Danio rerio: one gene and its partner. The protein of the gene in region 2 interacts with the protein of the main gene of each other region in a pairwise test. Links are inferred from orthologs where the notes say so. Each region holds a gene or a part of one and is shown on either strand. Other genes may lie near its edges.

The links.
Region 1: the proteins of phyh (region 2) and pex7 interact in a two-hybrid assay, tested with the Homo sapiens proteins (2 studies listed by BioGRID, with this or other methods). The link is inferred for Danio rerio from reciprocal best matches to the Homo sapiens genes PHYH and PEX7.

What each region holds. Positions count from the first base shown.
Region 1 is NC_133195.1:42,862,167-42,866,527, forward strand, and holds the start of pex7 (peroxisomal biogenesis factor 7), read right to left. Parts: upstream 2,830-4,361; 5' UTR 2,753-2,829; coding exon 2,692-2,752; intron 2,305-2,691; coding exon 2,247-2,304; intron 675-2,246; coding exon 524-674; intron 1-523. UniProt on the Homo sapiens protein: Receptor required for the peroxisomal import of proteins containing a C-terminal PTS2-type peroxisomal targeting signal. Specifically binds to cargo proteins containing a PTS2 peroxisomal targeting signal in the cytosol.
Region 2 is NC_133179.1:8,314,216-8,317,696, forward strand, and holds part of phyh (phytanoyl-CoA dioxygenase, peroxisomal), read left to right. Parts: intron 1-201; coding exon 202-370; intron 371-454; coding exon 455-536; intron 537-2,567; coding exon 2,568-2,749; intron 2,750-3,269; coding exon 3,270-3,419; intron 3,420-3,481. UniProt on the Homo sapiens protein: Catalyzes the 2-hydroxylation of not only racemic phytanoyl-CoA and the isomers of 3-methylhexadecanoyl-CoA, but also a variety of other mono-branched 3-methylacyl-CoA esters (with a chain length of at least seven carbon atoms) and straight-chain acyl-CoA esters (with a chain length longer than four carbon atoms).

The DNA of each region.
Region 1 (4,361 bases), on a different chromosome or scaffold from region 2:
TTGAATGCGAGCAATTTTTATTTTTGTGTGAACTACCCCTTAAATAATTACAGTACAAAACTGTATGTTTATTTTTTATAATATAAATGCAAAATATAAATTACATAATAATATGAAATGCATAATAATAATAATAATAATAATAATAATAATATAAAAGTTTAGTAATAAATTGAGTTCAAATCTTCCAGTACTCAGAAGGCAAAAATCGAAAATACAATTAATAATAAAAAAAAATTATTATGCCATTCATTATAAACAACATATCCCCAGAATGTACACTAGCCTGAAATCTGGGTCAAAACCACAAGATGTACCCATTGCAAAAAAAAAATTAATACGAAAACACACCAGTTCAATTCAATTCAAGTTTATTTGTATAGCGCTTTTCACAATAATTATTGTTTCAAAGCAGCTTTATAAAAGGTGCACATTACTGCATTACAATTAAATGCGATCAATTACAAACCAGCGAAAACAGAGCCCTAATATGCCCATTTAGAAGTGGAGATTGTGAACTGACCTCTTGTGTGTGGCCTTTCAGCACCTGCAGAAGACCTTGTGGATTGGCTGTATCCCAGATCTGCAGAGATCCGTCACCTCCTCCGGTCACTAGCACATGCTCATTGTTCTCACTCCATGTCACATCGAAAAGACCATCGTTCCAGTCAAAACTGTCCATGAGGCAAAAAAAAGAGATTCAAGCTCTACTTAATGATGCATCACATTACTGATTAGACCTTTCCTCCTTGACTACTGTACATTAGGATTTGCCTAGAAAGTTGGACTGTAACATTTTTGTGACAATTAATCCCATCCACTATATTGGACAGACCACAGAACAAGTATTAAAGGTCTGACTTGTATGTGTCATTTTAAATGTTTCCAATCTGTATGTGCAAACTAAAATGTTTAACTCCAGAAAATTTGCAGATTGATTTTTTATATTGTATAGACACAATGTTACAATTTTCTTTATTTGCCTTTAGAGCAAATATATTATTGGTTATTTTCCAGCTATGATTATTATTAGAGACATTTTATGTGGATGGTTAAAAGACTACATATCTTAATTTTTTGAAGTCTGTCTCAGTCAACTAAATGCTTTTATTTATACATAGAAAGTGTATTAAATTCTTTCAATTAAGTATTAGGAAAATTAAGCACCAAAATATGGGTGACATATTTGTGCATAAATTAAGTTAAACACTAATTCTGTTAATCCGGGGTCGCCACAGCGAAATGAACCGCCAACTTATACAGCACGTTTTTTTAGTCAGCGGATGCCCTTCCAGCCACAACCCATCACCGGGAAACCTGTTTTTGATTTTTACTTAATAAACGTTTAGTACAACCAAAAATGTGATATAACCCATCATTTACTCACCTACAAGAGACACATGATGTGTATGACTTCTTTTGATAAATCCATCCAGAGTTTAATTTAATTATATAAAATTGTCTTCGATAGTAAACACTGGAAAATTTCTTCAGTACAAGTTTAAAACAGCACATGTATCTATAGTAAAACATGCCTCATACGCTCCTGGGGGTGAATGAAGCCCTTCTGTAGCGATTTGATGCAGTTTTGTTATAAAAATATCAATTTTTTAAAAATTACAATAAATTATGTAATTTCCTCTGACTGTCTTAAGTGTGTTCACATAACTGAATACAAAACAGTGTTCATGGAATTATATAAATCTTAAATGAAATTGTAATTTTATAACGTATAGAAATTACAACTACAACAGCATTTTGATGTATTCTGGTGGTTTTCCTTTGCTGTTATAACAGAAAAGTTTTAAAATATGCACTTAGGATGCCGCGATCATGAGCTATTTTTTTATTTAAGGTGAACTAACCCTTTTAGAAATCTATAAGGATAATTAACCATACTGAATTTGGTCATATTTCAAGCAAATTCTAATTTTCGGCGGACAAATAGGTGAAATAGGTTTGGATAAAAGCAAAGTGTAACAACACTATTATCATTAAAAATAAACTTTTAATTAATATAGGTCATCAAATACTTGTTGTTTAAATTTGCTACACAAGACTTTTCTTGTAGTAGATTAACTAATGTTCACCGAATTAGTGCTAAAACATGCTGAATGTTTTCTAGTAATTGTTTTTTGCTTAGAAATAAAAATAAATCAAAATCATAATTTTTTTTATGTATACAATTGTATTACATATTGTTGTCATACTTATAATTGCTTTTTCATCTTTTATTATTAAATTACCTCTTCACAAGTGAAACATCTGTCTCCCGTTGCTCCAGCACAAAAAGTGTCCCACATCCTAAAAGCCAAGAAACAGGTTTATGTCAAAATCACAGTTTTGTATTAATCATCATACACTACCTGACAAAAGCCTTGTCGTCGATCCCAGTTGTAAGAGCAACAAATATTAACTTGACTTCTAGTTGATCATTTGGAAAAGTGGCAGAAGGATTTTCCCGATAAATCATTTGCTGAACTGCATCCCAATCATCACTAATACTGCAGAAGACCTATTGGAACCCGCATGGACCGAAGATTCTTACATAAATCTGTAAAGTTTGTTGATGGAAAAATCATGGTTTGGGGTTACATTCACTATGGGTGTGTGCGAGAGATCTGCAGAGTGGATGAACACATCAACAGCCTGAGATATCAAGGATATTGTGCTACCCATTACATTACAAACCACAGGTGAGGGCAAATTCTTCAGCAGGATAGCGCTCCTTCTCATACTTCAGCCTCCACATCAAAGCTTCTGAAAGGAAAGAAGGTCAAGGTGCTCCAGGATTGGCCAGCCCAGTCACCAGACATGAACCTTATTGAGCATGTCTAGGGGTGAGATGAAGGAGGAGGCATTAAAGATTAATCCAAAGAGTCTTAATGAACTCTGAAAGTCCTGCAAGAATGCTTTCTTTGCCATTCCACATGACTTTATTAATAAGTTATTTGAGTCATTGCAGAGATGTATGGATGCAGTCGTCCAAGCTCATTGGAGTCATACACAATATTAAATCTTTTTCCACTGCACCATGACTTTTTATTCCACAATATTTCTGTTCAGTGACAAGCAAAGTCAGACCGTACTGTCCTTATAAATAATAAAAAATCAAGGCATGATCATAGTTTATCTTAGTAAAATAAGCGTAATCTAGAGCCATTTTCATTTAAGCCACTACTGATACCAAATGATCAACTAGAAGTCAAGTTATTTATTGTTCCTAAAACTTGGATAGGCGACACGACTTTTGTCAGGTAGTGTACATGCCACTAACGTTACCTGCTATTCCATAATACTGAGAGGAAGCACATGCCATCGTAGAAGGCAAAAAAGGTGAAATCTCCACCGCATATCCATGACGTCCCGGAGACTTAAACGACTTCATACCGTTTCTCTAATAACTCAACGAGTGCAGAAATAGTCTAAAGTCCACGAACAACCCATTTACAATAAATAACGTTTTTTGTTTGTGGAAAACCACCAATATACGTACTGTCACCTAGGAAAACGTTTAAAACGATTAAACCTATAATTGTACTGTACAAATGAAACAATTGCCCTGCTTAACTTCCATATTAGCGCAAAACATGTGTATGACAAGTGTTTACTTCCGTGTTTTGGTGAGCTGACGAACGCAATGCTGTGGTTGGTCACATGTGGATGACGTCCTTGACGCTGATTTGCAGAAGCAGTTTTGATCTATTGTAGATATACGTGCATGTTTATGCGTTTTTCCTTTAATTCTGAATTGTTTGTAATTAATAGAAATGAGTGCATCAGACGTTTTCAATCTGGCGATTATAAGTCTTAAAATAAACACGTGAGTAAATGAAGAACATGAATGAAGCTTTATTTGAATGACACCAGAGGGCAGCATTTCTCCGGTAAAGACTTGCCACATTAGAAAAAATACTACAGTAATTTATAGTAAATACCATTGGTAAATACTACAGTGTTTTTGAACCATAGCCTACTATAGTAAAGTGTATTGTGCTGTATATAATAGTCTGTAGAATTGACAACTATTTTTGCAGATAACTATTGCAGCACAGACTACACTGTGTAGTATTAACTATAGTTAACTGATAAATTGTAATAAACACTTTTGTTTTTACTACAGTAAACTGTGATGTATTGTTGTATGATATTGGAGAAAACTACACTGTTGGATCATTTGTTTATATTACTAAAGTTGTTGTGTTATTGTACTAACTGTACAATTACCACAAGCACTTTACTATGGTATGGTTCAAAAACACTATAGTATTTACTCTACTATTTTTCACATGGGTTGTTTCCTTTTGAGACTTTTTAGTCTAAATATCTTACAATTGAAACATTTAGATTAATATTGTCAT
Region 2 (3,481 bases):
TATCAATTCATGACCATAACCATGTGTGTATTATTTTAAAATTCAATGCATTATTCCACAATAAATCAATCAGAAGTTCTTTTCAGCTCCATTAACAGGAGATTATGTAAACACAATGTAAATCATTTACAGAAACGCTGATAAAAAAAGCGGTCAGCGCTCTACTTTGCTCATAACCAGGTGCTTGTGTGTGTTTTGTAGGAACGAGTTTGAGCGCATCTGTAAGAGAGAGGTGAAGGTGCCTGGTTTGACGGTAATGAAAGATGTTTCGATCGCTAAATCAGAGTTTGTTGAGGGCGAGAAGGCTGTGACCAAACTTCAGGATTATCAAGAAGATCCAGAGCTTTTCCGCTACTGCGTTTTACCCCAGGTAGACCCAAGCTTAATGCATATATAACACTCTTTACAACAAGAGCACATTCATATATAATCATTTAAAATGTTTGTTTCTCAGATCCTGAAGTATGTGGAGTGTTTCACTGGACCCAACATCATGGCCATGCACACTATGCTCATCAACAAACCACCAGACACAGGTAAATATCAATGCTTCAGTTGCCCAAGTCGGATGTGTTTTTGAATTAACATCCTTGGGTAGACACGGTATAAGCCTGATAAGCAGGAGAATATTCTAGGGATTTTTTAAATAATATCTGAAATAAATGTACATTTTACGTAATAATTATAGTCTAGAATTGGAAGTTCGTAATAATTTAAAATAGCATTTAAAATAGCAATAGCAAATTAATTTAATAATATAAAAAAATAATCATAAATATAAATATATATATATATATATATATATATATATATATATATATATATAAATATATATATATTTATATTTATATTTATGATTATTTTTTTATATTATTACATTAATTTGCTATTGCTATTTTAAATTATTATTTAAAATAATATATGCTATTTTAAATAATATGAAAAAAATTATCATAAATAAATATACACACACACACACACACACACACACACACACACACACACACACACACACACACACACACACACACAGTTGAAATCAGAATTATTAGCCCCCTTTTGAATTATTTTTTCTTTTTTAAATATTTCCCAAATGATGTTTAACAGAGCAAGGACATTTTCACAGTATGTCTGATAATATTTTTTCTTCTGGAGAAAGTCTTATTTGTTTCATTTCGGCTAGAATAAAAGCAGTTTTTAATTTTTTTAAACACCATTTTAAGGTAAAAATTATTAGCCCCTTTAAGATTTTTTTTTCGATAGTTTACCGAACAAACCACTGTTATACGGTAACTTGCCTAATTACCCTAACCTGCCTAGTTGCCTAGTATATATTAACCTAGTTCAGCCTTTAAATGTCACTTTAAGGTGTATAGAAGTGTCTTGAAAAATATCCAGTCAAATATTATTTAATGTCATCATGACAAAGATAAAATAAATCAGTTATTAGAAATTAGTTATTAAAATTATTATGTTTATAAATACGTTAAAGAAATCTTCTCTCCGTTAAACAGAAATTTTGGAAAAAAATAAACAGGGACTAATAAATCAGGGGGGCTAATAATTCTAACTTCAACTGTATGTGAATATATATGTTATTTATATGTTTTTATATTTACACATACGTATGAAGCCATCAAATTCAAAGCAGTACTAACAATAGTAATTAACAGTACTAAAGTTGTAATAAATCACATAATACTCTACATCAAAAGTGTCTAAACCGTGGATTCATTTATTTTATTTATTTATTTTAATTGAGTTTATGTTATTTATCTGTATTTACTGGATTTATGATAGCAACATCTAATTACAGCCACTTCCGCTGTTAGGGAGGGGAGGGAAAAGGGGATGTTAAAAGGTACTGTTAAATTACTGAAGAAAATAAAAAATTGCATCATTAAAAAAAAAAGTGTCTAAACCACAGTAGTAATAATAGGAATATATTACATGATATAATATATATTATATTACCACTATTTAAAGAATTGTATCTACATATATCTTTTTATTTTAATAATTTAATAAAAAATAATATATGAAGAAATGAGATCTATACTTTTAAGTACAGTTGACGTGAAAATATTCGCACTCCAGTGAAATTTGTATGCAATGTATTTTGCAAATATTTCCCAAGTGATGTTTAACAGAACTAGGACATTTTTACAGTATTTCCTATAATATTCATTCTTCTGGAGAAAGTCTTGTTTTTTATTTAAGTTTGACTGAAATAAAAGATGCTGTTGTCCTTTAGTTTGCCTAATTATCCTAACCCTAACCTTGTTAAGTCTTTAATTTCCACCTTAAGCCAAATACTAGCATCTTGCAAAATAAATAGAAAAATATTATGCAATGTCAAATAGTTGTTATTGGAAATAAACAACTATTATGTTTAAAGGTGTGTTGAAATGATCTTCTCTCGATTAAGCAACAAATGGGAATCCTTTAGAATCAAAGAATTAAAATTTGACAGTAGGGCTAATTATTTTGACATTAACTGTATGCATTTATAAGTCCTAAATTTGACTAGTAGCGCCTATATTCCCACTTGTTTTTACCCTCTATAGGTAAGAAGACCTCCCGCCATCCTATGCACCAGGACCTGCACTACTTCCCCTTCAGACCCGCAGATCGTATAGTGTGTTCCTGGACGGCTATGGAGAAAGTGCACAGAGAAAACGGGTGTCTGGTCGTCCTGCCCGGCTCACACCGCGGCTCCCTGCAGGAACACGACTACCCAGAATGGGAGGTAAGAAGCAGACAAATGCTAAGAATTATTAGCTCTCCTAAATTTGATATTCCCTAATTTCTGTTTAATGAAGAGAAGATTTTTTCAACACATTTCTAAACATAATAGATTTAATAACTCATCTCTAAGAACTGATTTATTTTATATTTGCCATTATGACAGTAAATATTTGATTAGATATTTTTCAAGATACTAGTATTCAGCTTCAAGTGACATTTAAAGGGTTACCTAGGTTAATTAGACAAGTTTGGATTATTAGGCAAGTCATTGTATAACAGTTGTTTGTTTTGTAGAAAACTGAAAAAATATATGGCTTAAAGTGGTTAATAATTTTGACCTCAAAATGGTTTTAAAAAAAATAAAAACTTGCTTTTATTCTAGCCAAAATAAACCAAATAAGACTTTCTCCAGAGGAAAAAATAGTATAGGAAATACTGTGAAGAATTCCTTGCTCTGTTAAACATCATTTGGGAAATATTTGAAGAAGAAAAACTAATTTTTCCTATGTGTTTCCTTTCAGGGTGGAGTAAATAAGATGTACCACGGGGTGCGGAACTACGACCCAAACCATCCCAGAGTGCATTTAGAGATGGAGAAAGGAGATACTGTGTTTTTCCATCCTTTGCTGATCCACGGTTCAGGAATGAACCAAACCAATGGATTTCGAAAGGTTTTTAGTCTTTGTCTTATGTTCACCTGGCCGATAAATAAAAATATCTAATCAAAAACATG